Linked DNA regions of Lepisosteus oculatus. The protein of the gene in region 4 purifies or fractionates together with the protein of the main gene of each other region. This does not show direct contact. Links are inferred from orthologs where the notes say so. Each region holds a gene or a part of one and is shown on either strand. Other genes may lie near its edges. The genes, in order: sdhb, sdhaf1, iscua and hscb.

Region 1 (8,152 bases), on a different chromosome or scaffold from region 4:
GCACCGGTACAGGGAGAAGGGGTCCTGCAGTTTGGACAGGCGCTCCTCTGTGAAGTCGTCCCGAGAGTCGATCATCCAGCGGTACGCCTGGCGAGTCAAAGACACCAGCCCAGTGACACCAGTTACACCAGTACAGCAGCACCAGCACACAAGCCCCACATTCAGATCCACTCCAGGCTTTACCAGCAGTGTATCTCTTACCCAGATGTAGTGATAAAACAGCAAACATGTATAAAGAGTATTTTTAATTGATCTCAAAGCATCTGTCTGTGCAAATTTACTCCAGACTAATCTCTGGAACCCCGGGCTGCCCCTGTGCCACAGTCCCACCGCAGGTGAAATCTGTGGCGAATCAGACTGTTCTCCTGCGGTGCATCAGACAGCCCCCTCCTGCTGTCCCATCGCTCCCAGTCCCAGCCCCCTCCCTCCTGCTGTCCCATCGCTCCCAGTCCCAGAGCCCCTCACCGTCCCAGTGCTCCCAGTCCCAGCCTCCTACCGCCATCCCTGCGCTCCCAGTTCTAGCGCCCCCCAGCCATCCCAGTTCTCCCAGTCCCAGCCCCCTCCCTCCTGCTGTCCCATCGATTCCCAGTCCCAGCCCCCTCCCTCCTGCTGTCCCATCGATTTCCAGTCCCAGCCCCCTCCAGCCGTCCCAGTGCTCCCAGTCCCAGCCCCCTCCCTCCTGCTGTCCCATCGATTCCCAGTCCCAGCCCCCTCCAGCCGTCCCAGTGCTCCCAGTCCCAGCCCCCTCCCTCCTGCTGTCCCATCGATTCCCAGTCCCAGCCCCCTCCAGCCGTCCCAGTGCTCCCAGTCCCAGCCCCCTCCCTCCTGCTGTCCCATCGATTCCCAGTCCCAGCCCCCTCCAGCCGTCCCAGTGCTCCCAGTCCCAGAGCCCCCTCCCCCAGTCCCTGTGCTCCCAGTCCCAGCCCTCACCTGCATGAGCACTGCCGGCCCCAGATACTTGTCTCCGTTCCACCAGTAACTGGGGCAACTGGTGCTACAGCATGCACACAGGATGCACTCATACAGCCCGTCCTGGAGACAGAGAGCAAGATCAGCACTGCGGTCAGGCACGGCGGCTCTCGTGCGGCGGCGGTCAGGCACGGCGGCTCTCGTGCGGCGGCGGTCAGGCACGGCGGCTCTCGTGCGGCGGCGGTCAGGCACGGCGGCTCTCGTGCGGCGGCGGTCAGGCACGCCGGCTCTCGTGCGGCGGCGGTCAGGCACGCCGGCTCTCGTGCGGCGGCGGTCAGGCACGCCGGCTCTCGTGCGGCGGCGGTCAGGCACGCCGGCGGTCAGGCACGCCGGCTCTCGTGCGGCGGCGGTCAGGCACGGCGGCGTGGCGCACTGTACCAGTTTCTGCCGGTCCTCCACTGACTGCAGGTACTGAGCTTTGCCCTGCTGAGACTCGTCCCGCTTCTTCAGGAAGGGCTCGATGGACTTGTACTGGGCGTAGAAGTTGCTGAGGTCCTGCGGGCAGAGGGACAGAGAGGGGTCAGCGGCTGGCCAGGCGGGGGGCGTCGGAGCGTGGCGAGGCGTTGCCGGGGGCGTACTGACCGGGACCAGGTCCTTGACGACGTACATGTGTGGGAGGGGGTAGATCTTGGTGACGCGCGCCGCGTTGGCGTCGATCTTGTTGGTGCACGCCAGCGTGTTCCCACCATTGATGTTCATGGCACAGGAGCCACAGATACCTGCTCAGCACACAAAACACACAACGCAGAGGGGGCAGGTGAGCTGCAGTCCACACACACACACACACGGGTCTCAGCCCGCAGGCAGAGCCCAGCCCAGCGCTCACCCTCTCTGCAGGAGCGCCGGAAGGTCAGCGTGGGGTCCTGCTCATTCTTGATCTTGATCAGGGCGTCCAGGACCATGGGGCCACAGCTGCAGACAGACAGGACAGGACAGGACAGGACAGGACAGGACAGAGTGTCAGACAGCACGTATGCACACAACTACCCACTCGCATACATGCACAGCGGGTGCAGCAGCAGGACGGGCTGCCCTCAGGGTGACCTGCCTGTTGAGGTCGACCTCGTAGGTCTGCATGCGCGGCTTGTCTCCGGGCTTGTCGGGATCCCAGCGGTAAATCGCGAACCTCTTCAGGCGCGCTGCGGCGGCCTGCGCTGGGGCGGCGGCTGTCTGGGCGCCGCGGGCGAGCTGTCAGGGGAACACAGGACCGAGCGTCACCGGAGAAACGGCCCAGCCCCTCGCCCGCGGAGACCTCCCTGCGATCATCAGACACCAGCTCGACGGCAGCTCTTTCCCACGCGGACCGCCCCCGCCGCGTCACGGCACAGCTGTTCCGACGCACCCCCGCCCGCAACACCGAGCGGCGGGGTCATCGACCTGAGCTGTGCCTCTGCCCCACTGCTGACCCCAGATCAGCTCCCCACACTGACTGCCCCTGGCGCCGAGCAACAGCTCAGTCCCCACTCACGGGTCTGACCTGCAGCTGTCTACACGCAGAGAGGCAGGCAAGCGCCAGGCCACTGGCGACAGACAGCAGCGCTGGGAGAAAGCACTGGACCAGCGTCTCCGGTCCTGCAGGGACCTGGAGTCACCCATGGGCATCCAGTAGGTGTCTGTGCACAGAGAGGTGTGTGTGTCTGGGAAGTACACTGTCTGAGACTCTTCAGTGAACGGCTGAGTTAAATTCGGGGATCTCAGCAACAACCCGTGGCGGACCAGCAGAACACAGATCCTCAAACTGCTCCATCGCTCCCAATGACAAAGAACCACTGAGAGCCTGGCGCCTGCGTGTAACCCGCTCAGCCCGGTCTACTGACTACAGCAAGCCCTGGGATAAAGCTGTTACACTACAGAGAAGCTGTTAAATCCATCAACTCCATCAACCCGGGCAGCTGAACCTCACAGGAGCCGAGGCACAAGCGGGGCCAGGCGGACATCACCCCGAACATCACACCGACCCAGTCCGCTGCCTGAGCCGGTCGTCACAGCGTCTCAGCAACACAGTTCAAAGGTAACTTGAAAAAGTGGCTTATCAGGGGAGTCGTTATCAAGAATCGACCCCCCAACACACCGAGCCGCCAGAGCAGAGCAGCGGGTCTACAGATTGTACCTGTTTTTACAAGATACCGCCGCACTGGCCCTCGGACTCTCAAGGAGACGGGTTGTGTAACTGCTGGCAGCTGCAAGACCCGCACTCCGCTGTTCGGGACCGGTTCGCCGAGCCCCGCTCTCGGTCTCGGGTTCCCCTCTGTCCCCCCGGAACCCCCGGCTGCTCCCCGAGCCGCCTTACCCACCTTCAGGGCCGGAACCAGGACCGACCCGCTCCTCAAGGAGAAGCACACAGCCGACATCTTGGAGGAACCGAAGGACTCTGAGCGTCAGCAAGCCGGAGCTTTTGAGCAACACCGGACACCACCGACATCCAGCGGCTGCTAGAGCGCCACTTCCGGCAGGTCCTGGGGAGCAGTGAGTTTTCTCAAAGAAGCCGCACGACGGGCGACTTTGTCCTGGGTGCAGTTAGTCTTGTCGTGCCGCTGTCTCCACTGCACAGTGGGACACAGCTGGAGTAGCAGCTCCAGTGCACAGCACGATGGGGGAGAAGGGAGAAACTGTTTGAGCAGTGTATAAAGGAGGAAATGTAGGGGGGGCAGATTGTATGTGTCCAGCATGGAGGGTAGCTGGGTCACCGTGGTCATAGGAACAGTGCCCTGGGGTATTAACCTGCCTCCATACCGAGGACCTGATTTGGAAATTGTGGTGCAAAGCAGTGAGCACCCCCTACTGGTCCACCAACATCACTTACAGGAGCAGCTGGGTTTTCCTGAAGCTCCCCAGTACTGACCAGGCCGATCCTCGCTGAGCTTCCGAGATCAGACAAGGCTGTGAGGTGTTGTAAATGTGAAAACAACTAGATTGGCTGGGTAAAGACTCTTAGTTGTTTTTTTAAGTTTCGTTTTTTGCTGTTGTTTGGATTGGTACTATATTTCAGGAATCACAACGTGGAGCCTTGTTTGTTTTCTTCTCTTCTCAGCAGGAATAAACCTTTTCTTGTTCCTTTGCAGCCTGCGCCTGCTGATGTAGCTACCCACCTGAAATACTTTAGGAATGTTTGACTAAGAAGTTGTTTATTTATTAGGGCAATCGGTGTTTGCCCCTACAGTGGGAGAAAACTTGTCTTGGCCGCCAATAATGTCTAGCGAGAATTATTATAGCGAGGTCTATTCTGTAACCTTGTTCGCCTCTATCCCACAATCCCACAGCATAGAAACAGCGCCTTCTTCCGCCACGCTTTCCTCCCCTTTGACGTCATCTACATCTCCTTCCGGTCCAGTTTTATAAGATGTTTGTGTTGAAATTGCGAAACATCGTGCGTGTTTAGCACTCAGAAGAACAGTCACAATAAACACACGTGATCTAACCCTCTCTTGATGTTCTAGGTTGCCTACATTAGAGACGATTATGTAAAAAGTATTTGCATTTATATAGCGCTTCTCATCCGAATAGATCTCAAAGCGCCTCGCTTCACTCTTAAAAACTCCCTTCGATTAGAGGCGCAGATGGTTTCTGGGGCTGTGAATTACAATCCAAATTAAAAAGACAGACCGTTGTGTTTAACTCGCCGGTTTCCTTAGGCCTGGGAGACGAGCAGAAAGGCGTTGTTTCTGTACGCGGTGTAGCTGTGGTGTGAGATCTCTCCCCGTTATTCTACAAGCCCACTTCTGACTCTGAAATCCGCTGATGAAAATATCAAATGACATTTTAACGCATAGTGTGTAACAATGGCATCTTATCTCAACATTATTTTGTAAACACGAGCAGTCCAATATTATGTCTTGCACCACAGTGTTTTAAGCTAATCGGAAAGGATTTCAATGACCTTTAAACGATCAATAAGATTGTTTCGTAAATATTATAATAACACCTCAGATGGTGTTTTCTCTTGTCCTCCTCGATGTTTTGTAATGTGAGCCTTTTATAGGCTGGAGTTTTGTTCATTAATTAAAAATAAGACGTTATTTGAGTCTTAAAGTTTATATCAGTGATCTAGTTTGTGATATAGCCAGTAAACTATATCACCCTGCAACTCACAACTGGCAACCCACTGAAGCTAAGCAGGTGTGAGCCTGGTCAGTACCTGGATGGGAGACCTCCTGGGAAAAACTAAGGTTGCTGCTGGAAGAGGTGTTAGTGGGGCCAGCAGGGGGCGCTCACCCTGTGGTCCACGTGGGTCCTAATGCCCCAGTATAGTGATGGGGACACTATACTGTTAACAGGTGCCGTCCTTCGGATGAGACGTAAAACCGAGGTCCTGACTCTCTGTGGTCATTAAAAATCCCAGGGCGTTTCTCGAAAAGAGTAGGGGTATAACCCCGGCGTCCTGGCCAAATTTCCCATTGGCCTTAACCAATCATGGCCTCCTAATACTCCCCCTCTATGAATTGGCTTCATCACTCTCTGCTCTCCTCCCCACTAATAGCTGATGTGTGGTGAGTGTTCTGGCGCACTATGGCTGCCGTCGCATCATCCAGGTGGGGCTGCACACTGTTGGTGGTGGATGGGAGACCCCATTACCTGTAAAGCGCTTTGAGTGGAGTGTCCAGAAAAGCGCTATATAAGTGTAAGCAATTATTATTATTATTAAACTAGTAATGTTTGCAAATGATACCAAATCAGGATGATTAAAAAACACCGTAGGAGGAGCAAATTCAATTCATAGGAGTTCAGACAGAATTCGAGACTTGGCGAACGCCAGCCGCCAGGGGGCGTCCGTGTGGCGCGGCGCTAGGGATCGCCTACATTTCCCACACGCCCCTGCGGCTAACGTCTATGGCGTCAGCCCTGACCTCGCAGCAAACATGATGGCCGCCTCCGTGTAGCGCGCTGGTTGCATCTCGCACCGAGCCGAGGAGGTCAACAAAGGGAGTAAGAGAGCGAAAGCAGGGACAGTGGAGGCATGGTGTTTCTGACTCTGTCCCGTTGGATCAGGAGCCGGGGGCCAGACCGGTACTGGAGGGTCCAGGAGGTTCTGAAGAATGCCCGGGTAGGAGACTTTATCCTTCCACCCTTCTCAGATTTCCGAGTCAAGCTCACTTGATTCCAGTGCGGGTGAAGAGCCGTTTAGCCCCGAGACCTGTGTGGCTGTAGGCTGCTTTTCATTCACGCCTCGGTACCGTACAGTGCGCCTTCCGCCCGGTACCGGCATGACCTGACCCCCGACGGCTCGAGGTCACGAGCGGGTGTCGCAGCTGGCGTGGGCTTTCCCTGCGAGTTTGCCGGTAATGCTGCTGATGGCACCTCGTTGTGCTCGAAGGGTCTCGACCTGGGAGACGGTTCCCGCCTTCAGAAGCGGCAGCAGGCGCCGGTTAAGCCTGTGGACTCCGTGGGCAGGGTGAGGGCTGTGGAGATCTGGACAGCAGGTTATATCTGCTGCTCAGGCTGAGCTTTCAAACTCCTCCAGGGCACCGACTGAAATCGGAGGACCTGGAAGCGCATTTAAAACCGAGAGCAGGAGGCAGGTCTTTACACAGAGAGTGGTGGGGGTACGGAACAAGCTACCCAGACGTGTTGTTGAAGCTGATGCCTTCATCAGAGGGAGACCAAGCGCACACCCTCATCTGAGAACTTACGTTCCTCCTTCGTGCCATATCCTGCAGGCTGTAAACTCTGGAATGGATCAGTCTGCTGTGCACTGGGAGTCTTACGCCAGGAGATGGAGCGTACTTCCTGAGTACAGCTGCTTGGAGAGCTGTGACCACTCATTCATTCTTCACACACCTCTGTCCTTCTCTGTGTGTGTCTGTTGTGTGTGTGTGTCCGCAGCACTTCAGGGGCAGGAAGAACCGCTGTTTCCGGCTGGCGGTGCGCGCGGTGCGCCGTGCCTTCGTCTACGCCACCAAGGCCCGCAAGGCCAAGCGCAGGAACATGAGAACGGTGAGCAGCCGCGCAGCGGGGAGAGGCGCTGGGCCACACTGGGGGGGACAGCAGGGCAGTGATGCAGCACAGAGCCAGACTGGGGGGGACAGCAGGGCAGTGATGCAGCACAGAGCCAGACTGGGGGGACAGCAGGGCAGAGATGCAGCACAGAGCCACACTGGGGGGGACAGCACAGAGCCAGACTGGGGGGGACAGCAGGGCAGAGATGCAGCACAGAGCCACACTGGGGGGGACAGCACAGAGCCAGACTGGGGGGGACAGCAGGGCAGAGATGCAGCACAGAGCCACACTGGGGGGGACAGCACAGAGCCAGACTGGGGGGGACAGCAGGGCAGAGATGCAGCACAGAGCCACACTGGGGGGGACAACACAGAGCCAGACTGGGGGGGGCAGCAGGGCAGAGATGCAGCACAGAGCCACACTGGGGGGGACAGCACAGAGCCAGACTGGGGGGACAGCAGGGCAGTGATGCAGCACAGAGCCATACTGGGGGGGACAGCAGGGCAGGTGGCACCAGTCCGAAAGGTGTTGCTGGTCTCGCTGGGCCGCTGCAGTTCCTCACACAGCCCCCCTCTCTTCCCGCCTCTCAGCTGTGGATCTCTCGCATCGCCGCCGCGTCCCGGGAGCACGGCCTCAAGTACCCTGCGCTCCTGCACAACCTCATCAAGGTCAGCCACACTAAACTGTTACTGTTCTTATTGTTAGATCCCTTTCATCATTATTAATAATAATGACATAACAATTATAATGGGGAAAGACACTGTGACTGTGTCTGCCTGTGTCCAGCGTCTGTGTCCAGGCTGTGGTCACTGAGCCTGTCCTCTCTGGGCAGCCAGGTCTGCCTGTGTCCAGTGTCTGTGTCCAGGCTGTGGTCACTGAGCCTGTCCTCTCTGGGCAGCCAAGTCTGTCTGTGTCCAGTGTCTGTCTCCAGGCTGTGGTCACTGAGCCTGTCCTCTCTGGGCAGCCAGGTCTGCCTGTGTCCAGTGTCTGTGTCCAGGCTGTGGTCACTGAGCCTGTCCTCTCTGGGCAGCCAGGTCTGCCTGTGTCCAGTGTCTGTGTCCAGGCTGTAGTCACTGAGTCTGTCCTCTCTGGGCAGCCAAGTCTGTCTGTGTCCAGTGTCTGTGTCCAGGCTGTGGTCACTGAGCCTGTCCTCTCTGGGCAGCCAGGTCTGCCTGTGTCCAGTGTCTGTGTCCAGGCTGTGTGTTCCTCCTGCGCTGACCCGTCTCCTGTCCCTCCGCAGTGCCAGGTG
Region 2 (7,109 bases), on a different chromosome or scaffold from region 4:
TCCCGACCTCATCCCTGTGGTCTGTCTCATCATTACCAGTGATTCGGCCAATGATGGTGGTGTCATCAGTATATTTGTAGATGGACTTGGAGCTGTCTGGCCACACAGTTGTGGGTAAACAAGGAAAACTAAGCACACAGTCCCGAGGGTCACCTATATTGATGGTCAGCGTGGAAGGAAGTTCTCCATTATCCCTAACAGTCTGTGGTCGGCCAGTCAGGAAATCCAGAATCCAGCTGCAGAGAGAGGTGTTGATGCCCAGGTCATTAAGCTTCCTAACTAGTCTGGAAAGAACTACTGTGTTAAATGCAGAGTTGTAATCAATGAATAGCATTATGACGTGTCGTCATCATCCAAATGAGCCAGGGCAGTGTGCAAACCAGGGAACTAGTATTGTCAGTGGACCTGTTACACAGGTATGCAAACTGCAGGGCCCCTAAGACCTCAGGCACCATTGTGTTAATGTGCCTCATGACCAGCCTTTCAAAGCATTTCATTATGGTGGACATGAGCGCAACCGTCCTGTAATCTTTAAACTGGTTGCAGTATTTTTCTTCGGCACTGGTATGAAGGTATGATTTAGTAGAACACAAGGGAACAGAAGATTGTAAAAGTGAAAGACTAAGAACCAAGTAGACAAAAACTCCCTAAAAACCGTGGCCAACTGGTCTGCACAGGGCTCAGGTCCAGGAAGGCTGTCTGGACTGGTTGCCTGCTGTGCGTGTTGTTACCCTCCGTGACAGACAGCCGGATCAGCGGCCAGGAACTCCGACAGCAGTGGCTCTGTGATTCCCTGTGAGGCGCTCTGCGTGCAGAGTCCAGAGAAGCGCTGAAGAAGTGTAATGTATTGTTATTACATAGCACATTTATTGTTATTATAGCACAAAAGAAACAAATGCAGTGCAAGAAAATAAACAAATGTTTCTTCAAAAGCTCCTGCTTTTCACGCACCCAGCCAGTGTTTACACGTGAAACTGAGAAATTCTGAACGATGGGATGGAATCAATGAAAATAAATCAATTTATTTCCGTTACAAGCATGTGAGAGGAACTGACCTGTAGCAGAAGGCAATATGCCAACCAACTGAGTTGTAGCCTGATGTGTATCTGATTACAGAAAGTCTACAGCAATACCCAATGAACAGCGAAATAACAGAAGTTCAAGTCAGGAACCACTATGGAAGATTTAAGAAACAGTGAGACCAATGTTACATTCTCTTGTTCAATTAAACTTATTTTATTAAAACAGTCTGTGAGAAATAACGCAAACTACAATATCGGCATTACAAATCCTTCCACTATGGAGATGTGACAGCGGCCTCTCGACGGGTTTGAGCCCGATGAGTCTTGCTCCCGAGCTGTGCTGCGGGCTGAAGGCTCTGCAGTCCAGTGACCCTGCGGTAGACTGACCAGCCGCCTCGGACCGACGGCCGGGGCGTGACTAACCAGCTGCCTCTCCTGCCAGAGCAGTCAGGGGAATGAAGAGGCGGACGGATAGGAGCCGCTGGCACCTGAAATGGACCCGGCAGGTCCAGTTCTCCGCCCCCGAGCGCAGTGCCAGCCGGGGGTCAGCCGCGCCCCCCGGGCCTGGAGAAGGCGCCCAGCCGCCGGGTGGTGGCGTGACCGAGCTGCTCCAGCTGCCGCCACCCGCGCCGACACAGGTACTCGATGTGCATGACGTCAGTCCTGGGAATGCTGGCGTTCTGGCGGAACTCGTCCCGGATCCGGGGCAGGAAGCCCGGCTTGTGCGCCGCGGCCCTCAGGAGCTGCCGGTACAGAGCCAGGACCTGCTTCTGCAGCCTGCTGTGGCGCAGCATGGCGAGGAGGGGCCGCCTGGGTGGACCTGAAACCACAGGACAGCAGCTCAGAGGGGTCACTCAGGCATGCCTGACCGGGACGCGTCGTCTGCTTCGATCTGCGCGTTAGAAATCCGAGTTTCAGCTCTGCAACCAAGTGAAAACTACTCCGTACAAGACAAAGTGTTGTTTGTAACCAACGAAAGCTTTATTTTCTCCCGAGGTGAGTTAGTTTAATTGACGTCTTCTCCCAGAGCAGTGTGGCTGATCAACAGTCTTCCCGTGTCCCTTCCCTTCCACTGAAAACACTCCCGAGTCCCTCGGGCACTTCCCAGACAGCACAACGCAAATGATCCACAAAACGTTTGATGACGCTTTATTAAGAATAACAGGGAACATTCTTATAAGGTCACAAATCAGCGGTGCTAGGAGTGTTTTAGTGTGACCCGAAGGCATCTGAATCTTACCGATGGATAAAATACCCCTAAAATGCGACAGGGATGACAGGAGGTGTCGGTCGAGTCTCTACACAGTCATTCCCAAAATATTAATCGTTCTTGCAAACGGCAATGTTTCTAATGAATACATTTAACAGAATCATATTCCTCCTGCCACCTTCACTTTGTCTTAAAAAAAAAAAACACTGACAAGCCATTATCTGATCTCCACAGAACTCCCAACGACAGATACAGACACCATGAAACAAAAATGACCAAATAACGATGAGATATTAGCACTGGTTAGCACATTTATACTTTCCTGTAGGTATTTTAAAAACAATTACCGTGACAATAGGTAATATCTGTCAGCCAACGTCACCTGCGTACAGCTGCTGAGCGATACACTGACTTTCCAGCTCGTCGTGTGCAACCTGTGCACCTCGCTTCGCCCGCCAGCGCAGCAGACATAACCTTGTTGTTATGACACCGAGTCCGGCCCGCTGGCAAGACAGGCCTCCATCTGCAGAGCAGCTCGACCCCCCTGCAGCGCCCTCTGCTGGACAGCGCGAACACCCGCCGCGCACGCACCTCGGCTCTCTCCGAACCCCCAGGAGCGCAGGCCAGGCACGGAAAGGGAAGACGGATTTTTTTTAAACAGGTTTTGAGAGGTTACCTTCAGTTTACTTGGGAGCTGCAAGCATCTTGCACTGCAGGGAGATTCTGTCAGCCCTTCACTGTTCTGTACAAAGCCTTTTCACCATTCAGTGCTTCTGGAAAACGAAACCTCGTCCATCATGGCCTCTACTGCGTAGTGCATCCTTGGCAGAGCTCATTTCACAGTCCTTGTGCTTTTGCTCATGACGGGCACTTGAAGTTTTCCTGGTAGAATCTGGTACGGCACACTCAGATTCTGTGACCAGACCCCTGTGCGGAGGTGCTGTACAAGTGTCCAACACCCCTCCGGGACAGCCCAACAGCTGCTGCACAACCCCTCCAGTTCAACACAGCGCCCAGACAGGACAGCCATGGAGGCACGATCGACACCAGAGGTTATTACAAGTTAGAACAGCCACCATCAAACTAGTTTCCCAAACCATATCATTTACAGCACAGGAATAAAGCCACCACAGACCTGGTATTTGGAACTTCATTAGTGCTTTTTAATGACAAATTAAGACATTTTTTTAACAACTTAGTAGTTTTTTCCCCCCATCACAGAGTCAACATGGTGTAAATTCAGGTTCAGGATGCATACAGTATATTGCGCATGAAATCTGATGCTTCATTTTGATGACCAATACTTGACATAGCCAGCAAAGAAAACAGTGCTTTCAACTCAAGAGTTATCCTTCAATAGTTGGTTGATTTGGGACCTTTTCCATAGAAATGAAATGCGTGCCATAATAAAGAGGGCAGTTCTGCCTTCTCGGCTCAGTACTGCAGCAGTCTGCGCAACACTGCCTTTGTGGAGAAAACATTGGACCGGTAGTGTTCAAAACAAAAGTGCAACTCACTACATGTGCCTTGTCTGGGATCCGGATTAGTAATAGTTTTCTATTTATACTGTACAAATATATCATGACACTTTGGCACAAAACTCCTCAGTAACTCATGTGCATAGTAAAAGGAATTATTTCAGTCAATTCAAGCTCTTTGAAAATTAGACCTTGTCAGTTTCTCAGTTGCTCTGAACTGGAAATGGCAAGCTCAGACAGAGCTGTGAGTGGCACCACACCGCAGCCTAGGACAGCTTCCACTGGCCTCCTCTTTAACACGAGAGGAAAGGTCTCCCACTGATGGGACTCCTGTTTCCACCTCGCAAACTGGCAACTTCTAAAAGACCCTTTGGTTTAAGTTCTCACATCAGCCTGTGCTAAACATGAAGGTAAAGTCCCCTAGAACATGCAATCTTTAGAATAACTATCAGCACAGCTTTGTCAGAAGTGCCTGGATCTCACAACGCAGGAGGCCTTATCACACTTCATCTGCTGCAAAGGTTCACTTCAATAAAAATGGAGAACATACCAGACCACTACTGGTAAACAAAACAATCTCTACCTTGAATTACAAAAATAAAGAAGGCCTACTTCTTTCAGAGGTGAACCTTGTTAGGAGCATTTTGCCACTTGATAGAACAGACCTTGAGTTCAAAGTGTGTGATGGTGTGAATGAGACTTGTACAGTTTAACTCAGACATGCAGACTAATATCCAAGCTCAATCACTCAGAACAACATACTGTACAATGACGCCACTTAAATGAGCCTATCTATACATAAAAAGGGACACATCCTAGATATGATCACAGTCCCCACCTATGTTAACAACATTACACCTATTTAAATACATAAATTTAGCAGAGAGATCACAGGGAAAACTGCATCCACTTGCACACAGAGTGATAGTTGAATTCTACAAGCTTTAGCATTAATAAGTAGACAATATACTAAAAAAACACTTTCAAAGTATAAATTTAAATAAGGCATTGATGACCTCGCAGTTAATCTGACAGACAAGTCTTGAAATCAACTCCTCCATTAATTGAAAAAAAGTTGTTGCACATTTCAAAATATATACAGTATTTTAACAACGTGAGAAGACACTCCAGTGTGCACCAGGAGCGGCAGCACACGCAGAGCACAGCAGCGGTCTCCGGGCCTCCCTGCTCCCTCCTCACCACTACATCTCATCATCCAAGCCATAGTCTTCCTCGGGGAAATCCCCCACCACCACCACCTGTGGCTTGACGAAGGCTCCGTATTTGACCTGGCACTCAAAATACTGCTTCCCGTTGACGCTGAAACAACAACAACAACAACATTGTCCGAATGCACGGGCTTCACCCACTGAACTGTCACTCATCTGATGCAGCAGGATAATGGGCAGAGGCTGCAGCCTGCAGGAGCTCCATCTTCTCCTGCTTTTTAACCCAAACTGCTAGATACACAGCTCTGTGAGCTGTTACTACATGAAAAACAATTCTTTCAAACTAAAAAAATAAATCTAGAAAAATAAACCTAAGATAAATAAAGCGGGCAAAAAAAAAAATCTAGAACACTTCTGCGGTTGTAACTCTTGTGCATGTGAAATCATTTTAAATTAAAATGATTGACTTCCTAACTCCACAGGCAAAATGTCAAACATGCGGTCAATTTAAGAGAAGAGGAGAGGAATACAGATCCCCGGTCACAGCAAGAGTCTTTTCTAAACATTTGCTGTGTTGTGCATCCTCACGAATCAAATGAAAAAATCAGAAGGAATACCATTCTATTCTATTTGAGAATAAAGGTAACTATCCCAATCACATGGTAACTACACACTACTACAATTAATTTGCAATGTTCAAGTCTTTTAAATACAGGTACTCCACCTCCATCTAATTTATAAAACTCTCCTTACCTGCCATCATGCTTCCCCAGGGGCTCATCGTATTTCACTCCTACCCAGTGACCTGGTTTGAAGTCCGTCAGACCTGCCATTGGAACAGCAAGAGACTCACTGAACGGACCAGCCCTGAGGCAGACAGACGCAAGCTCACCGGCCCTCGCAGGGGGCTCAGGCCCGCCGGTGACGCACTCACCCACATACATGACGGTCCCTCTCTTGGGGGGCTGCCCCAGGACGCGCACCTCGCAGCGGGCGCCCACCGCGATGGCCTCGGTCAGGGCTTTCTCCTCGTTCTCCTTCTGCTCCTGCTCTGCCTTCTGGCGCTCCACATCCTCCTCATTGAAGCGGCCCACCTTCTTCTTCTTCATGAAGGAGCGCACAGAGTCTGGTGGCAGGGGCACAACGCCACAGGATTAACCCAACACACCAGCTCCTGCCTGGGGATTCTGGCCAAAAGGCTCCTGGTGGGACGTCAGCTTTGATCACAGCCCTCTTCATGACTGAGTGCACTGCCGTCTACAGGCTGAGTGCAAGCAGCCATCATAATAAAACCTCACCGTCCCGGCCATCGGACAGAAAATTAAATCAGTGGCCGGGCCCATCTGCCTAGAGGAGCTGCACAAAGATGTCATCAAAGAATGTAACCTCTGCAGGAAAACACAAACAGCTGTCCTTTTTCACCAAGCCAGTAAGGAGATCAGAACAGTATTTGTGAAAGCCAGGCTGTGACAAGTGAATGCATTGTTTTGTAAGTTATATAACATGTTGGCCAAATGAAACACGTATTGTTTTCTCTTTAGAATTAAGAGTGTCTTCATCTGACTCTGTCCCATCCCAGAGCAGCGCAGGCCGGCGGCCAGAGTGACGCACCTGATCTCTTCTCATAGGCTTCATCGGAGATCTCGAACTTCTCCACTCTGGACAGGTCGGTGAACTCCCCGCTCTGCGCCCCACTCCGGTCAATCACCTTCACACACACAAGGTTTGGAGAGTCAGATCCTGGCCAGAGCCTTCTTAACACAAAGAAATCATGAATGCAAACAGCAGTTCTTAAAAATCGTACTAGTATTGTATACAAAGTGGTACTGGTAAATACACTTCAGGTGCTTTGATATGCAACTTAAGCCAAGACATTTCACCGACATCCCTGAATAACTACTGTCATAAAAAGTACATGCTGGTTTTAGAGTGCATGACTATCGAATCCTCACAATACAGTTTAGTATTGTGCACCACAACACAGTCCTGCATTGGACTGCCACACAAGAGGAGGGCCCCGGACTTCGCCCTGCGACAGCCGCGAGGCCCAGCTGACACGACAGCGGAGAGACCAGCGATGATGCCCTACGTGTATCCTGCAGTCGTCGTCCACAGGGTAGGAGCCCAGCAGCGCCTCGTTGTCGTCGAGGTTCTGCAGGAACTTGTCGGTCGTACTGAAGAGCTGCAGCTCCATGCGGGACGCAGGAGATCCCACGATCATCTCCAGCTT
Region 3 (8,520 bases), about 860 kb from region 4:
TGAGTATGGGAAATCAGTCCTAAAACCCCACCGTTACAGCTGATAATTTACATTTTTTAGCAATTTTAGGAGATGAATGAAAAGATGGTGATAGGGTCTTGTGCTGAAAACAGATTGGAAACAATAGTGCATTAACTTACTTGAGCAATGCAGTTTGACAGGAGGAAGGCTAAGTTCTTTGGCAATTTCAGTGTTCTTGATTTTAAGGGCTTCGTCAATCTGCAAAGAAAAGAGCAAATTCAGTGATTAAATCCTTGCAAATAAGATAAATGTTCCAAAAATAATCGTGTAAAAAGTTACCTACCGATTTGCCCTTAACCCACTCTGTTGCCAAAGAACTGGATGCAATTGCCGACCCACAGCCAAACGTTTTAAATCTGGCATCAACAATCTTCCCCTGCTCATCCACTTCAATCTGCAAAGACACGGGGCCAAATTCAAGGTCAGGGTTTACTAAAAACTGTGAATACTTCTCATCCAAAACGTGAGCTTAATTTAGTTGTTCTCTACTGCAAACATCCCATACGAGCGCAAGTCTCATGGGAGTCGCAAGCTCATCTGGTAATGGCCATGGATACCAAGAACAGTTCGCTTTAAAGCTTCAAAAGCTAAGCACATAACACTTTTTGTATCTATCCTGACAAAGTACGTGTTAAATATAATTGGATGGTAGCTGTATTCAGTTAAGGTCACATTATCATAGCAAATGTGGCAATCACAGTAGAACAGGAATGTAAAGGGTGTATCATGCACAGGTAACTGCACAGCTAACTTACTTGTAATTTCATGACATCGCCACATGCGGGCGCTCCCACTAGTCCAGTGCCAACGTTCTTTGCATTCTTGTCGAGGGAGCCCACGTTCCTGGGGTTCTCATAATGATCCACCACCTTTAAAGAAACAAAAATGTCCCTGATTTATTCTTCTATGTCTTTATTGCAATCGTGACCCCATGGGTGGAAGACTTTAAAGGACACCATTTAAAAAAAAAAGTAAGAGGAGTCCCACCACCTTCCAAAACAAAAACCAGAACAGACTGATCTACTGAAAAACAGGCTGATTATCTTGTCAATCGTACGTTTAAGCACCTGATCCTCATCCCCTCCCTACAATAGAGTATTCTGGGCAGCACCGAGTCACACTCTCGGGGGGTGGATGGACACTGGATATACTCTATTAATAAGGCCGCAGGTTTATAGTCGAGCATTGTAATTTGCACATCAAACAGCAGGTTAAGGTTTACTGATGAAGCTAATGGGGCTTTAATAGATTACAGACAAAGCTGAACACAAGATTATGATTCCTGTAAAATGTGGCATCTGCGTGAAACTGAGGGTAACTATTTTTAATGGTGACCAGCAAAGGAAAACCTTGTGTGGGTAACATTTCACACAACCTGATCATTATAGTGCAATTGGGCCCAGGTAATTTTTCCCCCCAATGCCATATAGTTTACAATAATCTATGCTTTCAAAAAAAAAAAACATTTATAAAACTAGATATTCACGAATCTGAGTGAAAAAAGTCTGGGTCCCCGTCTCATCCCAAGTATCTGAATCTATTTTTAAAAAATCTCTAGGTCATTCTCAAATTCTCAAGTCCGGACATGATCCATCCATCTTCTAACCACTTTGACCTGCACAGGGTTGAAGGGGAGCGGATGCCTGTCCCAGCAAGCAAGGGAGTAAGGCAGGAGACTCCCTGGATGAAGCCAATTAACCTACCAGTATGAGTTGGGACTGTTGGAGGAGACCGAGCACCTGGAGGAAACCCATGTGAGTACGGGGAAAACATAATGTACAAACTCCACACAGACAGCAACCCAGGAGCCCCAGCACTCTGAGGCAGCCATGCCAACCACTGCGCCATCATGCCACCCCAGTCCAGACAATACTGCCTCACAAACAAACGCTAAGAAAAACATGTGTGTCTAATCATTATATTGTGGCAAGACAAGCAATAAAAAGGTGAATCATGAATCGTTCTTGAAAAGCACACTCTGAATGAGTGTCATTCCTCTCCGAATAAAGCTTGCAATCAGTTTCCGAAGTTCATGCTTCAGCAAATTAGGACAGATGATAAACACGTTGTTACTCATCTCTTGTGCCATCACCTTTTGTACCCTGCAAAGGAAGATCACATAACTCAGGTCATGTCTGGGAACGCTTACCCAAGGGGCTTAACAACTTAATGCAAATGCCCATTTTACCACGCACTGTAATCCAGACAAGGCTGTTCATCTTCACTCTGCCAAGCAGAAATCACCACCATGTCAGTGACAGACAAAAGGTGGGTTAATGCTAGCCAGGACAAAAACAGCTTAGCTCTAAGCATGGTATAAACATTTAAGTGACCCAGATTTCTTCTCACAAGTGTAGCGGGTACTTAAATGTGCTGTTGTGACACAACCTCGGAGCCTGATCTTGTCTGATCTCAGAAGCTAAGCAAGGCTAGACTTGGTCAGTACCGGAACCAGAGTACAGTAAGCCTCTGAGGAAAAACTGGGTTGCTCCTGTAAGTGGTGTTGGTGGACCAGTAGGTGGTGCTCTTGTGACCAAGGGTGCAAAATGCACAACAGAAAGTGCCAGTCTTTGAATTAATTAGTTTAATGTCTCATTCAACGGGTGAAGCATCTCTGATCCTCCATCTGATCTACAGTACAGTGGAGATGTTCGTGCAGAATGGCTGCTGCACTTGATCCACATGGACACTGCACACCCACAGTGATGTATGAAGTAAGTCCCCTCATGTTCATTGTGGTTGACAAGTTCTAAATGTAAGGAATTATTAATGATAAAGAAGGTCTTAAAACCATCCATTCCATTTACATAAAGGAACTTGATAATGCATGCCCCAAACACACACGTAGGGAAAAGCACTATCTTCTCTCGTCAGTTAATTAGTTAGCGAGCGGGGTATTGTAGGAGACAGCTCGATGCCCGCTGAAAGTACTTACAATACCGTTCTCTCAAACACAAATTGGTTTAACTGTTGACTGGATCAAAGCGGTTCAAGTTTTCGAAAAACTGCAGAATAGAACAAGTCATCCGTATTGCGTTTACGTCACTACAGTCGTCTCGCCGCTACGCGCATAGCGGCATTAATGACAGCATAACAGCGCGCCGTATTGCATGATTCAGTCCAAGCATAAGATTAAAAAACGCCTTGAAACGTTTTACGTCTTGAAAAATTCTAAAGGCAACAGTGTCGCTTATCAAATACAGAAGACACGGAGGGGTTCACCGCCGTGTCGTTACAGGCAAAACATGACCCGACCCGATGCCGTCACACGAGGTGACATTAAAAACAACGTTACAAAACAGGGGTTTTAAACTCCACCTGGAATCGGATGGCCAATTCCCACAGCTGCTTCTTTTTGTAGGTGTCGTTGTCGAAAGCGTGTGTTTTTCTAAAACGCAGTTAAAAGTTACACCAGCAAGGAACGCCCCCTGTAGGTATCCCATTACGACATACGCACGACATAAAAAAAGAGTCGGGAACGCAAACGGTGAGAATGCAGACACCCGGACGGCAGCGGTGAAAGACGGCCCTGTTTCCACGATACCTTTTTGTGATAAGGCAACGACACGGTGAGTTCCGGCGCCGAAAGCCTTCTGAAGAAAAACAGCGGGGAGCAACACCGCTTCACCATCGCCACCGCCATCTTTCCAGCGAGGATGCGAGACAGCAACTGTCCCGAGGCAGCCGGAGCGAGCGCATAAGCACCTTCCTGCTCGCGTGCGTAACGGGGGGAGGAGTTGCGTCTAATACCCCCCCCCCCCCTCCTCCCACACGTTTTGCAAAGGACATTTCTTTCATGCAATATTACCTAAGCAATTACATTCGAAACATCACGAACGCACCAACACCATTGACGGATATTCATTTTGTAACCGATTCTGTTCGGATTCGTAATGAACTCTTGGCAGCGTTCTGATTTGTTCCCGTCTTTTTGGAGGCCGTTTCTCCACTTTTTTGTATTATTTTATGCTGCATTAAATTTTTGAAAAATAAAAGAGGGGTACACCTATTCTTTCCCATCTGCCAATCCGTTTTATTGTAAAGAAAAATCAACACAGCAGGAGGAAATGCTCAAAAGCTTATGAAACAGTAGGCTTACACAACCTTAACTTAACGTGCAAGAAAACTGGGATACTGAGGGACAGTGACAACTGCACTTTCGTCTGTATCTTAATAAAAGTCCGAACTCCACATACCGTACTTAAAAAAATATATATTTTATTAATGCTGTATTAATTGACCGTGTATTGGACGAAGCCGTTACTGAAAATTCAAGGTTGCCCGGTAAATGGTTGAATGGAAAAATATTTACGTGTAAAATGAAACATAATGATGTAGTTGTCTGGTGTATATTTATTCACTCTGTTATTCGTAGGGGGTGGGAATTTTTTAACTATTACTACGGTAACACTCTATCATTACTCGAAGACCCTATGAAACATGGCCCTCCGCTGCATTAATAGAATCACGTGGTTCACTGCAAGCGCTGCTGGTCCCTTGTGACTGAAGGTCCTGAGGAAAAAGTGCGTCTGAACACCTGTGAAATCGCCTGAACATCCGAGTCGACTCAAGTGAAATTATACGTATAAATCGTATCGCGATTGACTGCCCTTTCCCACCGTTAATTTATGAAGGAGGTCGACGCGCTTTCATTGAGCTGCGTTGTATATTTTTCCGCCTTGTGATTTTTTTCGTGGGGCCGGGCGGTGTCTTGGGCAGCTCACCGCTGTTACCAGGCAGATCGAGTCCCAACATGGCGGCGACGGGGAGCGAAGAGGAGACGCAGTTGCAAGACATGGAGGAAGAAGCGGCCGGCGGAGAGAGGGAGATGGAGTCAGAAGAGGAAGGCATGGGAGTCGAAGGGTCCGATGAGGAGGAGGGAGACTCCTCGGACGATGAGAAGGAAAACGAGGCTGAAATCCAGCGCTTGGAGGAACAAGTAAGGAAATGAATGAATGGGGCTGGACGATATTGCAAGTGCACCACCGACATGGAATGATTCACTTAGCAAATGGTGTTTAATTAAACTGCAGCCCAGCAGTAATATTTTCCTTCTAAAGTCCTAACTGCACAAAAAAAATTACGAGCTCTAGGCGAATGCAGGCCGTGGAAACGGCAAAAGGCATATCAGTTGAGAAAACGCAATTGGACCGCTAATGAAAAAAAATGTATTTTATAGCTGCATATTCATACACGCCTGGGGATTTAAATTACTGCGCTATCTAGTCCTTTCCGACGCCCATTCATTTAGCAAGCAGGCGCACCGTATGCAGGTGAAAGCAACGTACTTACCGAAACGCAGAGCTAGCTAGCTACACTTCACAATCACCGTTGCTTCACTTCGGAGGTTGTGCACTTTAATACGAATGTAATTAAACTGTGTGTACGTACGTAACCCCTCGGTTTTGACACATTGCATCGCCCGGCGTGCTGCGCAGATTTGCCGAATGGTGCAGGAGGCTGTTGTAAATGCTGGTGTGCGGCGGGTTTGCATGATTAGAGAAGCGGGGTTTATTTCTGTCGTCCTCTGAGCTCCCAGCGGAAGCCCAGAAGTCAGTAACGATCGTGTGCCCCTCTAGATATAGGTTAACCTCACGTGACGATTCCCCGATAAAACCCCGTTTTTACTGACTTGCAAGTACTGTACTGTTTATGCCCGACACTGCTAGCAGTGACATTACTGAAATACAATTGACGAGTCGTTGCGTTTAATCCTTAAAATCGATCTTTTTAGCTCTCTTTTAGCGTTTGATTAACATAAGGATACTGGCCGTCATCCTTTTACCGGGTGTGAAACTTGTGCTACCATTAACCCTTACCCCTGTTCTCGCTCTTGTCCAGGGTGTCTGTAATCGGAAAAACAAGCCAGGGAAAGAAACAGGCGCAGAGAGTCGTTATGCGGTGAAATATTTTATGGGTGAAAGCAATGGAAGGCAATTAAGAGCTAAAGAGGAAAGTCGTCACACAAGAGCGGGGATCATAGCACAGAGGTTAATTAAATGTAGCCAAATGGACTTTAAATCCTTAGCAAATATGATCTTTCTAGTCTTGAATGTGTACATTGTATAAATTATAATGAGAATGACATGCTGCATAAGGTTGCATGTTATAATGATAAATTATGTATAAGGCTAAATAATGGGCTCCATTTACTTGGTGGCAGGGAAGGTATTGTCTGAGAGTGGAGAAACAGAAATCTGTTTTCACATGCCTGTGTTAGCTGATAACTGGCTTGGGAAGAAGACAGCGTTTCAGCTCCCTTACATATAGCCAATCTTTAATCTTTTGACGAAAGACTAGTAAGACAAAGTATTGCTTCAAAGAAATAAGCTTCATGGTCTTCTTTTCTGCTTTCCTCTTACAAAAGACCTGTTTGAAATGCCCTGTGTGCTATGTGTGATAAAGACCACAAGATCAACTTTAAAGTGTCCTATTGCCACAGCTGCAACCATTTTCACAATGCATGTCATTTAAGTAAAAAAAAGACAGGTGGTGTAAAATGGATATTTAGATGGGGGGGTTGCTCATTCATTAATTAAAACATTTCTTTACTGGGATGTGTTTTGTGTGGCAAATGGGCTTAGAAGCCTAGAGGAAATATTGGCTGTGCTTTTAAGCTAGGTGTGGCAGTAAGCATTGGTGCCTCGCAGCTCTTGAACCCTGGCTTTGATTCTGGACAGGGGCAGCTCCTGAGCTGTTTGTATGTTCTTCTTGTGTAGGATTTCACAGGGTGTTTCTAGACATGTGCTCAATAGGTGTGTGAGTGTGAGTGTCTCGAGATGGGACTGACATCCTGTCTTCTAGGGTGTTGTTTTCTGGGTAGCTGTGACTTTACCAGATTGTGGTGATGGGCCGGTAAAACCGAAGTTGCAGTGAGTTTTCTGTGTTATTCGGTGAGAAGACCTAGTAGTTTATGGCCCTCTTGTTCCCCACTCTGTATAAAGTACTGGACACTGTCTTGTTTTTGGGTGGACTGGGCTTTGCTTGCTCACCTGTGATGTGCTCTTGCCCAACAGCTGTCCATCAACGCCTTCGACTATAATTGCCATGTGGACCTGATTAAACTGCTCCGCCAGGAGGGGGAGCTGGTGCGTCTGCACAGAGCGCGACAGAAGATGAGCGAACTCTTCCCTCTCACGGAAGGTGGGTGGCCATGTTTTCTTTCACTGCGCTTATTCGTTAACCTGCCTTTAAACACCCCTTTCAGATACTGAGATTACAGGCTTTAGAAACATATGAGCCAATCTGTGTATTGTACACATTGGAGTCCATTGATTCACCAGTCTGACTGATCTCGATCACGAACATGGTCCCATAGGACAGTAGCTGTCTGTCACTTCCAGTACATGCAAGTGTTTGAAATGGAGCTGCAAAAATGGAAGTGAAGCTTTTTTTTAATATTCATGTCGGTTTTCATTCTTTCAATAAAGACCTAAATTGCGTGAAAAGGGGAAAACGAGCAAAATTTGAGCATCATCTTTTCCCTAGGTAAAAATGCATATTAACCCTGTCTTACCCTCGCAGTCCCTGCAAGCGCTCGGTTCAGATCTTTTGCACCTTGTACTTGTAGATGGATAGTTGAGACAGACTGCCTCAGTCCCGTGCAGTGATTTGTTTGTACAAAAGTAAAGGAAATACCTGTATTTTCTGTGGATAAATTTAAGTATTTTGTCTCATGCATTTCTACATAGAGATCTGGTTGGACTGGCTGAAAGATGAAATACGCATGGCAGATCAAGATTCTGATCGGGAGAAAGTGTATGAGCTCTTTGAGAAGGCAGTCAAGGATTACATCTGTAAGTAAGACTGTTTTCTTTTACAATTTATTAAAAATCTGGGCTCGATTGTGCTTGACCCATTCTTATTTTGCATACCAAATTAAGCCCTGCCATCTCCTTTATATGTTGCTCTTTGTCTTTGTGTTCCTTGAGTGATGTTAAGGTGCTTTATTAAATTCATGTGAATTTTGTGAATTGCAAAACTATCACTTTTTAACCACCAAAAGATATGTCAAACCAGAAATACTTTTAGGCTCAACGACATTTATTCATTTACCAAAAAAAGATGCTAATAGGTTATGTCTCCAGCACTGTTGTAACTGATTATTCATCAGGACTCTTTAATTTCCTGCCATGTTGTTTTGGAATGCAGGCCCCGAGATCTGGCTGGAATACGCTCAGTATTCCATTGGGGGGATCGGGACTCAGGGTGGGATACAGAAAGTGCGAGAGATCTTTGAAAGAGCCCTGACAGCTGTGGGCTTGCACATGACTAAAGGGACGGCCGTGTGGGAGGCGTTCAGAGAGTTTGAGAACGCTATCCTGGGAACTGTACAGGTAAGGCACGCCGGGCAGAGTGGTGCCTCTCCAGTCCTGGTCCTGAAATCAGTGGTCTCCAACCAGGCTTGTGGAGAGACCAATCCACTAAGTCTTACAGGTCGCTCTTAATCACATTTCTAAAAAATAAGAGCCCTTGTAAATGACTATATTAGGAAGTAAA
Region 4 (8,392 bases):
TTAACACTTGCATTTAAAAATATATGCAATAATTTTCCCATTAATGCTAATTGATTCATTTAATACTCCCTTTTATAGGTTAGACTGAAATGTATAAATGCTGAAACATCAACACCTGTATACATTCCCAGGCTTGTGTAAATTATTACGCAACATTTATTACTGCATTAATGTCACAAATGTTAAAAAGGAAAACACTGAAGATTGTAATATTCTAAGTTAACACCTGTCAAGGAGTTGGCTTAGTTCAATAGCTGGTTTTCATCCGTCAGTTCTCTCACTGTATGCAAAAAGTAATGGCAATATTTTGAACTTATCTATGTACTGTATCATTGTCACTGCTAATTTGACAGGACTGATACTTACCATATAAAGCCCACGACTGAGAGGCTTAAGTAAAGTCCTGTATGCTCTGTTAACCAGGGCAGACTGACTTTCAGAGTATTCCTGCTCCTGCTGTAAGAGACATCACAAAATAACTTCCAGGAAGTAATCAATAAAGACCCTGCATGCTATTTATTACAGCACATGTTCCAGAAATCTCACAGGGCAATCATAAGACTTTATTTTCCCCAAAAGTAATTTTTTTCCCTTTCCGTCAGTGTTCAATGTAGCATACTTAACATGATCTGATGATGTGATATAATAAATTATTTGTGAAAGGAAAGTTACTAGTTCTGACAGGCAGAATGTGCTTGAACGTACCAAAGGTTAAAAAGCACTTGATAACTCTTTATATGAAATGCCTCTCATTTTCATTAAAAAAATAATGTAGAAAAAACAGAAGGTCCACATATATCTGGGACTAAACAGCTTCAGTCTTGAGGCCAAGCATGAAAAACGTATTCACAAACCTGAAAGGTGCTGACAAGGTCAGCCCAGAAGATTACTTTATGCTCAAGAGTAAAATAAGTACAAAAGGGCACAACTACAAGCTGCTCATGAAAAAGTATATTTATGGCTGAAAACAGGAGAGGCTTTTTACACAAATTTTTGTGGAGGTTTGGTACCAAGCCATGTTGTTGAAGCTAATACTGGAGATCAATAAACTATTTAGACAAAGGTACCATAGCAAGCTACTATTTTCCTGGACCAAATTTTCAAAACCTTCACAATAAGTATACAAAGTATTACAGAAGCAGCTGTAAACCGCTTTATGCTGATCCGTGGTAAAAGCTACAACACAGCTGGTCATTTATCAATTACATCATAAATAATAACATGAAATTAGGTGCAAAAAAAGTTATGATTACCTAAGCAGTGCTTCAAAGTGCCTTGAGCGTTAAAAAAAAAAAAGGTCTATTATATTCAAACAAATTAACACAACATTGGGGACCAGATCTGTACATGTGTATTGCCTACTGTTTAGATGCAACTCAGTCCAGTTATGAAACAACTACATTAACGTCAATGTGGGATTATGCAGTACTTTTGTAAACCTACAGCCAAACCTTGGCATTCAGATCTGCTTGCCATTTTATGAATGCATCTGAATAGGCTAATTTTACACTTACCAGGTCCTGAGTGTAAGAAAATTTGATTTTTTAAAGGTCTTGTCATGCTTGGAATAGTTGAATGTCTTGAATCCAACAACAGAAGCTGGTGTGTATGAAACATGTAAAAGGAAATAACTGAAAAACCATCTCATGTTTGGAAGACAAGTTGAAGGTAAAAGGGCTCAGCAACAGAGGGGCATACCAGGCTTATGCAGCCAATGGGAATCAATGAGAATTAAAAGTGGCCGATTTCTATGTTACAGCCATACATCATGCTACACAAAACACCAACAGTCAGTCAAGCCCCTCATTTAAAACTGATCTGTAGACTGGATCATCTCCAGAGTCAGTCTGCTCCTAGGACCTCAATATCCAAAAGCATTAATTAGTCAGTGCCGCTCCATATGGTTAAATATGGTTAACAATCAGCAGCAGGCAGATTTTCCTGGGGGCTTGAAATAGCATTACAAGCCAAATTTTCACTTTTTCCTGATAATTCTTTAAAAGTGGTGCAGAGTAACAGAAAGTGCTTTGGGAGAAAGTTTAATACCCTACCATGCTAATCCCCAGCACTGATGGTCCTTGTCTTTAATATGCACCATATTGTATCAAATAGACTCTTCTGCAAGCCAAACACATTTCACATCATATCACTTAAGTTAAATGGAATCAGACAAGCCATTTATTTTTAAAGCAAAGTCTTTATTTTTAGACATGAATAGTCTCCATATCCAACACTACTGCATTGCAATGTGAAATTCCAAAATCCTCAGACCAGACTACAAAGTACTCAGATACACTCAGTCTATTTGCAGGAGTTAAGTGTTACTCCTGCCATTTCTGCCATGTAATTCCACTGCTATTCGAGACTGACTTTTTTGTAGTTTGAACATTGCATGAGTATGCCTACACGATTATTTTTTTAAATGTCTGGAGACATTAGAGTTGGCAGGTGCACGCACGCTATGGAGGCTGGTGAACCTTCACTTACAGACTATACCAGAAATGCAAAATTATATTTGATTGACAAAAAAAAACACCAGTCCATAGTTCACTGGGTTTTGATTCTATTCATTGGACTTGTACAGATGCTGAACAGAAACAAGCTGTGGACAGTGGAAGTACAAGTCTACACAGTGACACAACAACGTTTTGCCCGTTTAAGAACTAATTGCAGAAATCGTGCCATACACCTGGAAGCATTGCTTACCTGCGTTTTCTGGCTGAAATTATCAGGGTGAAGAGAACGCTGAAGATGCATGTACCTTTTCTGTAACTTCCGAACATCCAAAGCAAAGGATATTTCACTAAAACAGTGCATAAAGGTTTATTAACACCAGGTGCACTAACACCAACATCTGATGATAGTCGAGCAATAAATGCTGCAGATGTAAAAAGTCAACTAGCATGTACAGGATTCTTAATGGAACAAGTATTATTAGTTTATTCCATGCTGAAAAGAGAAGAAAGACAACACAACGTTTCGGCCACGGAGCCTCACACGTGAAGAAGGCTCCACAGCCAAAACGTTGTGTTGTCTCTCTTCTCTTTTCAGCATGGAATAAACCTATTACTTGTTCCTTTGCAGCCTGCGCATGCTGACGCAGTTACCCACCTGAACTAGGATTCTTAATAGCAATATTTATAAGACCTCTCTAAGAATTAAAACGTTTTAAGAAATGCAAAGCTGTTTTATGCAGTTAACGTTTAATAAATATATGGCAACCCATTAAGGTTACAAAACCATGTGTAACTTTAGCATATCAGAGGGATCTCGCTGAAAACAATTTCAGTCAGCCAACGCAGACACCTGAGATCGAAACTGCTCAAGTGGACAAACTACTTAGAGTGCCAGACAGACCAGATTCCTTCTCACCAGTCCATGATGTCGAAGAAGTTGATGTTTTCATCAAGTGGCTGGATGACAAGGCAAGCCGGGCAGAAGAACGCAGGAGGCGTCTGCAGTCGTGCCTCGCATTTCCAACAGTGTAGTTTTTTCAAAACCGTGCAAAAAGTCCTGGAAATCATACCGCATCGACGTTTCAAGAGCGAAGTGGCTGGGAACTGATTTGATTTGAAGTGCTCCAAAAAATGCAATGTTTTTGAACAGACTCCAGAAGAACGGCGGCTGCCCGAGCCATTCAAGGTGAACACCGTTACGAAAGCTTCACAGCCAGACGTGGAAGGTAGATGTTTTAAGACAGACTGATCATTTCCAACATAGAGCCCTAGGCCACAAACTCTACGGAGTGAGCTGGCAAATCGTAACCTGTTTAATATCAGCATTGTTTTTCCTTTAAGTCAATATCCATGCATGCCGGTACTGCCTTCACCTCTCGTAAGAGGAGGAGGTGGGTAGGGAAGACAACAGGAAGCATCAGAATTATTTCCGGTTGGATATATAAAACATAAAATTGTTTAAAAGTAAATATGCAGTATTAATACTATGGTATTTACATGCATTAGTTTAAATTTGTGGGTTCGTTTAATATTATGGAAGTCAGCGAACCTCAAGTTTAAGTCACATATTTCCCAAATTAGGTCTCAAGGCAGAGGCTGAACTACATTTCCCAGTCTGCCCCAGAGTTTCCCCGATTGGTTGGCTTCTGTAATTGGTTGATTTTGTAAAACGTTTCGGCGTTGTTGAATGTACTACCTGTGATTGAGGAATAATCGGGGAATTTTGGGCATGTGAGTAGCTGATTTTGTTGAACTCAGGTATGACCTAACTCGTATGAATCATGCAAAATGAAAACAGCATGCTTCTGTATTTTCTTTAAGTTTACGCTACTGTATTAGTTTTATTGACCGGGAGTCATGGGCGCAGTTTTTTTACTTTTTCTTTTAATGTGTACGTCATCTGAGCTCATTGCATAGATTTAGCTACAGTTTCTGATTTCTTTAGTCGTGTTAAGAAATGTGTCTCATATCTTAGACGTGTTTCCTTAATTATTTCGGCCTATGTTACCATGTGGCACCGGGAAGAAGGCGGCTCTCTTGTTATTGTTATTGCGGACGGGTGCAAGTTTGCTTCCTTGTAATGCAAGGACTACAGACTATGGGATGCCAGGCACTTTGCCAGAAATATTTTTTTTAAAAATAATGACCCCCACCAAAACGAATGACAACTTTTAATGAAAACACTTTATTTAGTTTTTACCTCGGGCAATTCAAGATTTTGTGGATGAAAGGACTATATACTGTAGATGTACAATAACATTTTGTTACAAGCCACTCTTGATCTTTGCATTACCGTGCGCGGCCACAACCACTCTTTTGCTGCGGAGAATTTGCAGATATGTGCTAAATGGGTGCGGGACATCAGAGAGCGGCCGCCAGAGACCGGGAAGTTGTGCAGAACTGCACCGATTTGTAGGAATCTGCACTAGCATTGTGCCGAATGCTTTGAAGAAGGCACCTCGGATATAGCGTTTTATGTTTTTTAATACTGTGATTTTTTTTATGTTTAGTGTTTAAGTGCAGCGTTAATTTGAATTGGAAGTTACATTCATGACAAGATAATTTATTAAAAGTTCAAAAACAAGAAAAATCCACTGTCTCTCAGGGATTTTATCATAAACGTGCGAAAGTACCCTGTCCAAGGTAGGTGATTTTCTTACCATTTTAAATTCAACCATTATTGATGTGCTTGATTATCCAACCCCATTTGCTCATGTTCACGAAAGCATATGCAGTTTTGCCCGTGGTTGTCAAAGTGTTTGGCCTTACCTGGGTACACGTGTTGTGTTTGCATCTATAAACATAAAAACATACCAGTTCTTCTGAGCCAGGAAGCAGAATCATGATTTTGTTTCCACATGAGAAGTAGCATCAGAGGTTAACAACAGGAAGCAGCTTTGTGCTGAAGGAAAAACAAGGGTGTGCAGAGGAAAGCTAGACCACTAACTACTGTTCTGGTGCCTCTGTTGTGCTTGATGCTTTCAGTAAAGGTAACCAGGGAGCTTAACCATGTCTGAGGAGCCTGGCCCCAGTGACACCCAGCCTCAGTCCCAGTCTCAATCCCAGTCCCAGTCTCAATCCCAGTCCCAGTCCCAGAGCAGCTCCAGTTCTTCGTCGGCGCCTCAGTCTTCCAGCCAGTCGTCCTCGTCTTCGGGCTCAGGCACGCTGAGCTCCGTCGACACCATCCCCGTGCGGGACCTCTCGTCCATTCCTGAGGAGGCCGAAGACCCGGAGGAGCCCCCCCCACAGCCCTGGGGCCGCCTGCTGCCCATGGAGAAGGGCTTCGCAATGCACAGTGAGGGCTCGCTCTCTCCTGCCTGTCTGGACTAGGTCCCAAAGGACAGTTCTGTGCCATTTAGCCATCGCTGGCTTTCGGAAGCTTGTAGAAAGAAGTTATATCTCCTGATTATGAATCTGAAAGTGAATGCGCCACTTTACCTAAATAGTTCATTTCTTCAGTGTTCTCGAACATTTTATTAAGTGGTGTGTTCAGGTGAAAGTTTGTACTGATATTGTAAAATGGCCACTTTGAAGTATAAAGAAAGATTTACTAATTATTTCTTTGTGTTGTGTGTTGTGATCTTAAGCAGTTGCGAACATTAATTGTTTAATGTTAAACGTGGCAAACCTGGCCTTTTTCTTTCAGACTGCATAAAGGATGAATACTGGTTTGGGAGAGACAGACGATGTGACTACAGTTTTAATAATGCCTTAATCAGAAAGTCAGAAAAGTACGCAAGTTACAGTAAGAAGCACTTCAGGATATTCAGGGTAGGAGGTACTTCTGTTATCGTCCTTGGTCAACTGTTCCGGTATCCACTCGGAACAATTCCTTTTGAAGATTTAATGCTTTTGTTATCCCAATATGTCTCTTTATGAGACAATTATGAAATAATTCATGAAATAGTTGTCTGATGCTGTGATTAATTGGGTCACAGTTTTGTAGGAAACTGACACATTTTTAACACCTCCTTCCCCTCCCTTCCCCACTCCAACTTTTCTCTGTGCAGGAAAGCGGAATTCCGTATATTGAAGACCACAGTGGGAATGGGACCTATCTTGACGGACAGTATATGGGACAGGGCAAAAAGTTACCACTGGCAAATAATGCTGAACTGGCGCTTTCTGTCCCCCAGAACAAAGGTAGAATTTTTCTGTGTAATTTTTGTTACTAAGTTTGTTTGTTTTTTGGTGGGGTGTTTGAAAAGGAGTTTTTAAGACATCTACACATCAGTGTGTGAACTAACTTGCATTAAATTGTACTGCCCATGTAGCTCAGGATTCCTTCTTCTGACGTATTTAACCCATTCTAGAGACTGTTGCTTTATAATCTATGTCATTTCTAAAGTTCTCATATCCATGCATAGCTTTTTGTAGGAATCCCAAAGGTATCCTGTAATGTTTAATTAAATATATTTTGTATAAGGGAAGCTGGTGATATGTTACATTAGTCTTACTCTTTTTCTTACTTCCCAGTACCTAAAATGAAATATTTTACTTTTTTCTCTATAGTTTTTGTGTTTATTGACCTCACCGTTGATGAACAGTCAAACCTCCCAAAGGAATTCAAGGACAAATACTTGATATCAAGAAAAATTGGATCGTAAGTGGAGCAGTCGTTAAGTGTGTTGCCTCGCTAAAGGGGGTGTTGGCAGGGAGATGGGATTTTTTTTTCTAACGGAATCAGGCCTTATCTTCCAGAGGAGTTTGTGGAGAAGTTAAGCTGGCATTTGAACGGTCTACATGCAAGAAGGTGGCAGTGAAGACTATAAATAAGAAGGATTTTTCATCCACTGACGTGAGTGTGGGATTTCAAGAGGAGTGGTCTGTCATTTTTTATTCTTTTAGAATTTGTTGGCTCCTTCTCAATTGGAGGTTTACTCAAAGGCTAAAGTAATGTTTTGTTTTTTAGAGGACAAACCCTTCAGCCGAAAGAGAAATTGAGATTTTGAAGAAAGTAGACCATGTACGTGAGTAACCTGCCGTTCACCCAGTTGTCAGTGGGTGTTAAAGATGTCTTTAGGTTTTTGGTAGTCAAATATCTGCAAGGTGTTGCTTTGTGTAATTATACCCTCTTACTACTTTTTGGCTTAGTATGGACAAAGCAATTTATACAAGTAACTTTATTTAGCAAACATTCAAATGACTGAGAAAGGGCATGTTCTTTCTGAACATCATTTTATGCTAATTGTTTCAAATGTGTGGAGACACAAAAACACTGCATCTCTGAGTTACAAAACCTATATACCCACATCGTTTTAATACACTAGTAATTATGGAAATGTGAATATAATTCGTTCTGGCTGTTTCATAGCTTTAGAAAGAAGAATTCTCTAGAAAGAATTCCACTTTGCATATATTAAGTCAAAGTTAACACCCAGGGATAGGTGTTAATGTACTGTACATGTACTGCTATGCAAATATCAGGGCTTGTGAACTGTTCTGCTGTTTTCACATTCCCTTCATGCAAAACTCTAATTCTGTCATGATCATCAGATTCAATAGCTTTAAATTACACAGATTCAAGCATTTATTTTTATTAACAGTTATTTCTGGTGGCTAACAGCTAACAGTTATTTCCAATAGATCTCTGTTTTGTAGCTTGGATCTTTTAGCTTTGTGGAAGTGTAAAGAGAAACATATAATTTTGAAGATGAATATTATGCCAATGAGTCCATTAGATTTAAACTGGTAAATATGGTGGATTTATTAGCTGTCTGTTATTACCGCTTAATGTTTGCTACTAGCTTACAGTTTACCTTGAGTTATTGTGCTCACGTTTCTGAAGGTTTTGATCAGTGTGAATCAAATATCACTGAATTCCAAGCCTGGTTTTAGTGTTTCTCAGTACTTTGTGGTTGATGGGTCCTTTTGTTGCTTTGCCGCAAAGCTCTGAATCACCAGCCCAAAAGAACTCAGGAACTGGGCCACATTTA

Evidence for each region.
Region 1: the proteins of hscb (region 4) and sdhb purify together in Homo sapiens (co-immunoprecipitation; 3 studies listed by BioGRID and IntAct, with this or other methods). This does not show direct contact. The link is inferred for Lepisosteus oculatus from reciprocal best matches to the Homo sapiens genes HSCB and SDHB.
Region 2: the proteins of hscb (region 4) and sdhaf1 purify together in Homo sapiens (co-immunoprecipitation; 3 studies listed by BioGRID and IntAct, with this or other methods). This does not show direct contact. The link is inferred for Lepisosteus oculatus from reciprocal best matches to the Homo sapiens genes HSCB and SDHAF1.
Region 3: the proteins of hscb (region 4) and iscua purify together in Homo sapiens (affinity purification with western blotting; 3 studies listed by BioGRID and IntAct, with this or other methods). This does not show direct contact. The link is inferred for Lepisosteus oculatus from reciprocal best matches to the Homo sapiens genes HSCB and ISCU.

Annotation. Positions count from the first base shown.
Region 1 is NC_090720.1:389,479-397,630, forward strand, and holds the start of sdhb (succinate dehydrogenase [ubiquinone] iron-sulfur subunit, mitochondrial), read right to left. Parts: upstream 3,385-8,152; 5' UTR 3,321-3,384; coding exon 3,264-3,320; intron 2,158-3,263; coding exon 2,018-2,157; intron 1,882-2,017; coding exon 1,796-1,881; intron 1,689-1,795; coding exon 1,552-1,688; intron 1,465-1,551; coding exon 1,348-1,464; intron 1,033-1,347; coding exon 931-1,032; intron 88-930; coding exon 1-87. Other genes in the region: mrpl20 (large ribosomal subunit protein bL20m), read left to right, coding at 5,924-6,010, 6,790-6,900, 7,494-7,571, 8,144-8,152. UniProt on the Homo sapiens protein: Iron-sulfur protein (IP) subunit of the succinate dehydrogenase complex (mitochondrial respiratory chain complex II), responsible for transferring electrons from succinate to ubiquinone (coenzyme Q).
Region 2 is NC_090698.1:1,229,338-1,236,446, forward strand, and holds sdhaf1 (succinate dehydrogenase assembly factor 1, mitochondrial), read right to left. Parts: upstream 1,817-7,109; coding exon 1,568-1,816; 3' UTR 1,208-1,567; downstream 1-1,207. Other genes in the region: tbcb (tubulin-folding cofactor B), read right to left, coding at 4,913-5,030, 5,633-5,705, 5,814-6,005, 6,491-6,587, 6,969-7,109.
Region 3 is NC_090717.1:6,283,144-6,291,663, forward strand, and holds the start of iscua (iron-sulfur cluster assembly enzyme ISCU), read right to left. Parts: upstream 3,744-8,520; 5' UTR 3,665-3,743; coding exon 3,566-3,664; intron 891-3,565; coding exon 777-890; intron 416-776; coding exon 305-415; intron 220-304; coding exon 141-219; intron 1-140. Other genes in the region: sart3 (squamous cell carcinoma antigen recognized by T-cells 3), read left to right, coding at 4,775-4,960, 7,038-7,164, 7,713-7,817, 8,173-8,357.
Region 4 is NC_090717.1:5,419,656-5,428,047, forward strand, and holds the start of hscb (iron-sulfur cluster co-chaperone protein HscB), read right to left. Parts: upstream 3,879-8,392; 5' UTR 3,783-3,878; coding exon 3,373-3,782; intron 2,804-3,372; coding exon 2,707-2,803; intron 457-2,706; coding exon 367-456; intron 1-366. Other genes in the region: chek2 (serine/threonine-protein kinase Chk2), read left to right, coding at 5,466-5,751, 6,103-6,227, 6,467-6,599, 6,969-7,059, 7,158-7,254, 7,369-7,422.